Cricetulus griseus: one gene and its partner. The protein of the gene in region 1 purifies or fractionates together with the protein of each later gene. This does not show direct contact. Links are inferred from orthologs where the notes say so. Each region holds a gene or a part of one and is shown in the gene's direction. Other genes may lie near its edges.

The links.
Region 2: the proteins of Cdk4 (region 1) and CCAAT/enhancer-binding protein alpha purify together in Homo sapiens (affinity purification with western blotting; 3 studies listed by BioGRID, with this or other methods). This does not show direct contact. The link is inferred for Cricetulus griseus from reciprocal best matches to the Homo sapiens genes CDK4 and CEBPA.

What each region holds. Positions count from the first base shown.
Region 1 is NW_023276806.1:130,641,250-130,645,154, reverse strand, and holds the start of Cdk4 (cyclin-dependent kinase 4), read left to right. Parts: upstream 1-1,147; 5' UTR 1,148-1,305; intron 1,306-1,760; 5' UTR 1,761-1,780; coding exon 1,781-1,998; intron 1,999-2,142; coding exon 2,143-2,278; intron 2,279-2,384; coding exon 2,385-2,552; intron 2,553-2,704; coding exon 2,705-2,814; intron 2,815-3,340; coding exon 3,341-3,391; intron 3,392-3,705; coding exon 3,706-3,841; intron 3,842-3,905.
Region 2 is NC_048602.1:3,364,040-3,367,944, reverse strand, and holds the start of CCAAT/enhancer-binding protein alpha, read left to right. Parts: upstream 1-1,397; 5' UTR 1,398-1,521; coding exon 1,522-2,637; 3' UTR 2,638-3,905. UniProt on the Homo sapiens protein: Transcription factor that coordinates proliferation arrest and the differentiation of myeloid progenitors, adipocytes, hepatocytes, and cells of the lung and the placenta.

The sequences.
Region 1 (3,905 bases):
AAAGGAATGTGACACCAATGATGAGTTGCATGTTTGCAGAGGGACACAAGACGTTCTCGGGCAACATGGTGGTCTGAAGTGGTGTTGGTGACCGCCCTTGTACACGCTCACCGTTTTGTCTGTTCATATGCACAATTACATACATATGTAACACAATACAGAATCTTAGTGTTAAGAGCCTTTTAAGATCAGGCACCCTGTTGGGCCGTAGTGGTGCACGCCTTTAATCTCAGAATCCCAGCACTTGGGAGACAGAGGCAGGCAGATCTGTGTAAGTTCGAGGTCAGCCTGGTCTACAGAGAGAAACCCTGTCTCGAAAAAAAACAAAACAACAGAGTTTCCAATAACTCCTTGCTGCTTTTAATATTCCCAGGGAGGTTTGCAAGTTGGAAGAGGGGAGGGCATTACGTTGCCACTCTTCCCATACAGTGACTGAGTATATTAATCCTGCTGTCCATCTTTTAGCCCTAGTTTCCTTCTTGGATAGGAATCGTACTCCCTGTTTCATAAGGGGCCACACTTGCCTACATTAGATACCCTCATCATTACTTCAGAGGGCGAATGGCTGAGACACCAAAACAAAAACATCACATACCAACTGGAAAGGAGCCCTTAGTAAAATTTTTGTTGAATGAATGAGTAAAACGAAGGCACAGTATACGAATGCTCCTTCCCCATGGCGCTGGAGTGAAAAATGTGACAGTCCCATCTCTGGTACCAGGATCTCCCACTAGCACCCGGACCTCCCCGCCCACGTCCAGACAAGGAGTGAGACGGAGAGATGCGCACAGGCTCGGCCTTGAGCCCAGAGTTGAGAGCCGGCTGGCCCGGTTGCCATGGCACCGCCTGGTGCTCCACCCTCCCTCGCCCCCACACACCCCCTCGGCAGTCAGGGACTGGCGGCGGGTCACGTGGTAGGCGGCGTAGCCACGCCTCTGCTTCCCAGCGCAGAGCTGAGGGGTCACGTGGGATAGCAACAGGTCACGTGCCCGAGCGAGTTTCGCCCCCCCCATCCCAGGTCATCCACTGCGCATGCATGGATGGATGGATGGATGGATGGAGACCACGTGTCCGCCGCGAACGTCCGGCGTTCGCCCCCCCCCCCCGGTTTCCGCGCGCCTCCCTGGCTGCTGGTCACATGGGGAGGGTGGGGGTGAGGGGGGCCTCTCTAGCTCGCGGCCCGTGTCTATGGTCTGGCCCGTAGCGTCCAGCTGCCCGGGACCGATCCCCGGTGTATGGCGCCGCAGGAACCGGCTCCCGGGCCCAGATAAAGGGCCACCTCCGCAGCTCTTGGCCGGGCGAGAGGTGAGTGCAGCCGCTTGCAGGGATGGGGCCCGGCGCCCCGCCACCACCCTATGGATCCCCTCGTTGTGGAAGGATGGCCCAAGGGCGGGAAGCGGGGCCTTTGTGGTCGCGGCCAGCGTGTGATTTTAGGGAATAAAGTGTGCAACCTTCGATGCCAACGCCGTGCATTGTGATGGTCTTCTTTGTGCCCGGTGCGATGTCCCGTTCTCCCCCCTCCTCCTCCCCGGGAGGAATGCATTCTTTTTCGCCCCTCCGGGACATCACGTGGCTGGAGGGCTCGGTGGGAGAGTCTTTTGTGTTACCTGAGGCGCGGCACTCTGGCAGCGTGGAGGGAGGGGATGGGCGGCTGTGTCGGTGCGGTCGTGGGCAGGAATTCCTTTGTTACTGCTGGGTCATCCCCCCTCCTAGCTGTGAAGGAAAGGAGGGCTTGGTTTTAGAAGCCTCTGTGATTGTAGGAGATCTCCCTGCTCCGAGAATGGCTACCTCCCGCTATGAACCGGTGGCTGAAATCGGTGTTGGTGCCTATGGGACGGTATACAAGGCCCGAGATCCCCACAGTGGCCACTTTGTGGCCCTCAAGAGTGTGCGAGTTCCCAACGGAGGGGGAGCTGGAGGGGGCCTTCCCATCAGCACTGTACGCGAGGTGGCCTTACTGAGGCGGTTGGAGGCCTTCGAGCACCCCAATGTTGTACGGTGAGGAGGTTGGATTGGGAGTGGGGAGGAAAGAATGGGATCTGTAAGCCAGGGGTGTGGTCGTCGGGAGTGGGACCCTAGGACTCCAGAGGCCACGTTGGAACAAAGGACATTGACCGGCTGGCGACTGTTTATTTTTGTCAGGCTAATGGATGTCTGTGCTACCTCCCGAACTGATCGAGACATCAAGGTCACTCTCGTGTTTGAGCATATAGATCAGGATCTGAGGACATACCTGGATAAAGCACCCCCACCAGGCTTGCCAGTTGAGACCATCAAGGTGAGCGGGCTGCTCGGTGAGAGGTGGATCCGGGTCTTTGTAGTAGGGACTCTTGGGGTTTTTGAGCGTGTTACATGGTGTCCGGGGCTTTCTCCTTCAAAACCAGGACCTGATGCGACAGTTTCTAAGCGGCCTGGATTTTCTTCATGCAAATTGCATTGTTCACCGAGACCTGAAACCGGAGAACATTCTGGTGACTAGTAATGGGACAGTCAAGCTGGCTGACTTTGGCCTGGCCAGAATCTACAGCTACCAGATGGCCCTCACACCTGTGGTGAGTGGAAAGATGGCAGCCCCAATGGGATTCGGCTTTAGGTAGTACTTGATTTCCCGTAGCAGCTGAGGTGTGTTGTGCTTGACGTTCTCAAAGCCCAGCAGCTATGAGCCATGAAAAGGACTCTCACTCGTTTCTCCTCTTCTGTTTAGGTTGTTACACTCTGGTACCGTGCTCCTGAAGTTCTTCTGCAGTCTACATACGCAACACCCGTGGACATGTGGAGCGTTGGCTGTATCTTTGCAGAGATGTTTCGTCGAAAGTACGGGGCTTGAAACTTTTGTTTTTTAAGACAGGGTAGCCCTGGCTGTCCTGTGACTCCCTCGGAGATCCGCCTGCCGCCACCACCTGGCTCAGGGTGTGGAACTCTTAGGTCCCTTCAGTTACACAAATCTTTTGATGTTACTTATGGTGTTAGAGGTTGAAATCAGAACTGCACATACACTGGGCAAATGCTCTATACCACTAAACTACACTCCCCGCCCCTGGGTCTTTTTACAAGACATACCCGTTCTTGACCATTTTTGTGCATATGGCACTGGACGCCCCAACCTAGGCTCTTGTATTTATCAGGCGCGTGCCCTGCCACCCAGCTATAGTCCCAACCTATCCTGTTTATGTTCACCAACTTGCCTAAAACCAGAAACGATGCAGGCAAATTTCCTGAAATGTCTAGGAATTAGGAACTTTGTGTTCCCTTATTCTCCGTCCTCTCTAATCTCAGCCACTTTGATTATCATTCCCTTATTTCTGAAATAATATATACTTGGAATATTTTTCTACCTTAGGCCTCTCTTCTGTGGAAACTCTGAAGCTGACCAGTTGGGCAAAATCTTTGAGTAAGTGTCCAATAAAGGGGAAAGAAATCCCCCCCCCCCTTTTTGTTTGTTTTTTTCGAGGCAGGGTTTCTCTGTGGCTTTGGAGGCTGTCCTGGAACTAGCTCTTGTAGACCAGGCTGGTCTACAAGATCTCAAACTCACAGAGATCCGCCTGCCTCTGCCTCCCAAGTGCTGGGATTAAAGGCATGAGTCACCACCGCCCGGCTAAAATTCCCCATTCTTAATTCAGTTTCTGCTCAATTCCAAATGGCAGTTGGCCCTGGAGATGGAAACTGGAAAAAGCCCCCCTGACCAGATTTGTGTTATCCCTACAGTCTCATTGGATTGCCCCCAGAAGATGACTGGCCTCGAGAGGTATCTCTTCCCCGAGGAGCCTTTTCCCCCAGAGGGCCGCGGCCTGTGCAGTCGGTGGTACCGGAGATGGAGGAATCTGGAGCACAGCTGCTGCTGGTAGTGGGCATGGGCCAGGGAGGTGGCTCTGTGATAAAGCTTTTAGGGCATAAGTGTAAGGACC
Region 2 (3,905 bases), on another chromosome or scaffold:
GGAAGCCGCAAAAGGCTCCTCGGGGTGCAGAAAGCAGAGATTTGGGTGCTCACCAGGCCCCATCTGCCCCCGACCTCCACGGCCGCGATCCAGGTGGAGAATGAGCCCGTCGCCAACGCCACGTGGCTGGGGAGACTATGCAGGCAAACTCCTACCCAAGCTGCGAGCCTGCAGGCGGCGCGGCCCCGAGGATCCCCGGGACCCGACAGGGTACTCCCAGGGGGTGCTCAGACTCCGTAGCCAGGGACTGGACACTCAGGCGACGGAGATTGGCGCCCACCCGAATGACAGGAGGGAAAGAAACCTGTGGCTTTAGGCTCCTGACTAAGGATCCCGCTTGGGGATCCCGCTCACCTCCTCTCTGTCTCTGTCTTTCTCTCTCCCTCCCTCTCTCTCCCACACCCTGCCCTCTCCCCGCCCCCGCGCGCTTGCCCTGGTGTCCTGTTCCCCGAGTCTCGGAGGACCCACCCGCCGGTCCCGAGGTCCCAAGCGCTCGGCTAGAGGCTCCACACCAGGCAGCAGCGCCCGCCTTGGAAGCCTAGCAACCCCGGCGCTCTGGCCGGGAGACGTAATTAAAAAGAAAGTTTTCCAGCCGGAGCGGATGGACCGGCCAGGTCCTCGGGACTCCCGGGTTAGCGGCCGCCTTCGCTCCCTGCTGGGTCCTAGCGCCCTGCTCGGCGGATCCCGCGGGACCCCGGGGTAGGGAGGCTGGCTGGGCGGGGAAGAGGCGCCCCGCCTGGAATAATCAGCGGGGTCGCCTGGAGTGGAGAGAGAGAGACACACACAATCTCAGCGCTCCGGCCCCTGCCACTCTGCGGCGCGCGCCAGGTCGCCGCTCCAAAGCAAGTCACAAAGCAGCTAGGTCCCTGGCTGGGGGGGGGGGGGGGACAGGCCTAGTCCTAGCCTTTAAGACCAGTCTGCACCCCGGTAGCTCAAGACGAATATTCCCTCTCCACCCCCTACCCCTACCCCTCCCTGCTCGGCCTCTGGATGCTCCCGGGCTCCCCGGTGTTGGCTGGAAGCGGGTGACTTGGGCAGGCTTGCAGGAGGGGCGCCCAGCCGCGGACCACGTGTGTGCGGGGGCGACAGCGCCGCCAGGGTGGGGCCGAGCGCAGGCCGGGCTGCCTCGCAGCGCAGGAGGCAGTGGGCGTTGCGCCACCGCCTCTCCCCCTGCACGGTGCTCCCGCCCCGCTCGCCGCCTGGGAGAAACACAGAGGGCGAGCGAGAGACAGACAGCGGGCTCTAAGACCCAGCAGGCGCCCTGCTGCCCTCGCCCTGGGCCCGGGACCCTCTTGGACACCAGGGGGCGACGTCCGATCCCCCTATAAGAGCGGATCGCGCGCGGGCCTGACCATTCGCGACCCGGAGCTGCGCGGGGCGCGCGAGCGAGTCGGGGGCTCCGGCGGGGCGGGCGGCGAGCGGGCGGCGGTGAGCGGGCGAGCGGCGGCGGAGGCAGCGGCGCCACGCGCAGGCTGGAGGCCGCCGTGAGGCTCGCCATGCCGGGAGAACTCTAACTCCTCCATGGAGCCGGCCGACTTCTACGAGGCGGAGCCGCGGCCCCCGATGAGCAGCCACCTCCAGAGTCCCCCGCACGCGCCCACCAGCAGCAGCAGCAGCAGCAGTAGCAGCGCCGCCTTCGGCTTCCCCCGGGGCGCGGGCCCCGCGCCTCCCCCAGCCCTACCTGCTGCCCCGGAGCCGCTGGGCGGCATCTGCGAGCACGAGACGTCCATAGACATCAGCGCTTACATCGACCCGGCCGCCTTCAACGACGAGTTCCTGGCCGATCTCTTCCAGCACAGCCGGCAGCAGGAGAAGGCCAAGGCGGCCGCGGGCCCCGCGGGTGGCGGCGGCGGCGGCGGCGGTGACTTTGACTACCCGGGCGCCCCGACGGGCCCCGGCGGCGCGGTCATGTCCGCGGGGGCGCACGGGCCCCCTCCGGGCTACGGCTGCACGGCGGCCGGCTACCTGGACGGCAGGCTGGAGCCCCTGTACGAGCGCGTCGGGGCGCCGGCGCTGCGGCCGCTGGTGATCAAGCAGGAGCCCCGCGAGGAGGACGAGGCCAAGCAGCTGGCGCTGGCCGGCCTCTTCCCCTACCAGCCGCCGCCGCCGCCGCCGCCGGTGCACCCGCACGCGTCTCCCGCGCACCTGGCCGCCCCGCACCTGCAGTTCCAGATCGCGCACTGCGGCCAGACCACCATGCACCTGCAGCCCGGCCACCCCACGCCGCCGCCCACGCCCGTGCCCAGCCCGCACCCCGCGCCCGCTTTGGGGGCTGCGGGCCTGCCCGCCCCCGGGGGTGCGCTCAAGGGTTTGGCTGGCGCGCACCCCGACCTCCGCCCCGGGGGCGCCGGGGGCGCCGGCGGCGCAGGCGCGGGCAAGGCCAAGAAGTCGGTGGACAAGAACAGCAACGAGTACCGGGTGCGGCGGGAACGCAACAACATCGCGGTGCGCAAGAGCCGCGACAAAGCCAAGCAGCGCAACGTGGAGACGCAGCAGAAGGTGCTGGAGCTGACCAGTGACAATGACCGCCTGCGCAAGCGGGTGGAGCAGCTGAGCCGGGAACTGGACACGCTGCGGGGCATCTTCCGCCAGCTGCCCGAGAGCTCCCTGGTCAAGGCCATGGGCAACTGCGCGTGAGGCGCGCGGCTGCGGGACCCCACCGCCTTTGGGCCGGCCACCCCACCCCACCCCTGGCCGGGGACCCGGAGAATGAGTTCGGGTCGCTGCATCTCCAGGCTGCCCCGGGCCCGTGAAAGCCAGGACTAGGAGATGGCGGTGTTGTCGTCTGAGAGCTTGGCCTACTCCGCGTGTCCCCTCCCTTCCTCTGAGCCGGGACTCGGTGCGTCTAAGATGAGGGAGTCAGGCCGCAGTTTTTCTCCTGGAGCCCGGGAGACTTGTCCGCGGAGCTGAGCCGGGAGCCCGCCCGGCCGTTCTAGTATTAAGTAAGGAAGTCACCCTGTGCCTTGGATACTCAGAACTCGCTCCTTTTCCTACCGAGTAGGGGGAGCACACATGTGCCTTGATATTTTATTTGGAGGATCCCTGCCTTCTCCGAGGCTGCGGCAGGCCCCCCCCCATGAGAGCATGAAGGGTGCAGGCCCAGGGCAGGAGAAAGAAGATTCAGGAAGCTGAGATCCCGGCAGGCAGCGCTCCGCTGCTGCCCCTCCGTCCCTGTCCTTAGAGGGGAGGGACTTAGGGAGTTGGGGATTTGAGTCTGTAAGAGTACCCCTCCCGCACCCCTCCCCCTCATCCATTTGGAGGTGCACGGTTCTTACTTTTCCCACCTCCACCTTTACTCCGCACCTCAGCTTGCAACAGGCTAAGTTTCCTGGGTGAGTTCGTGGAGAATGGGGGGCGCCACCCCCAGCTAGACCAGAAAGCTAGGCTGTAAGTTAGCCATGTGATTAAGGGAGTAGTGGGAGACGGGAACCTAAGTTTCTGGTCTTGGGGGGAGAGGGGATGAAAGGACACCGGGACCATCAGCCTTGTGTGTACTGTATGTCGCCAGCCGCTGTTGCTGAAGGAACTTGAAGCACAATCGATCCATCCCAGAGGGACTGGAGTTATGACAAGCTTCCCAAATATTTTGCTTTATCATCCGATATCAACACTTGTATCTGGTCTCTGTGTCCCAGCGGTGCCTTGTGCAATGTCAATGTCCACGTCTATGCTAAACCACCATTTTATTTGGTCCTTTTGTTTTGTTTTGGTTTTGCTCAGATTCTTGCCAAAATGAGACTCTTCGCTAGCGGCTGGGGGAAGAAGCTCGGGCCCTCTTTCCTTTTTGGTTTGGGGATTTTTTTTTTTTCTTTTGCTCCCGGAGGACCACCACCCTCCCTCCAGTTTTCCCAGGGTGTCGTTGTGGGTCTTAGCTTCTTCCAGCTGAGACTACTGTATACACAGGC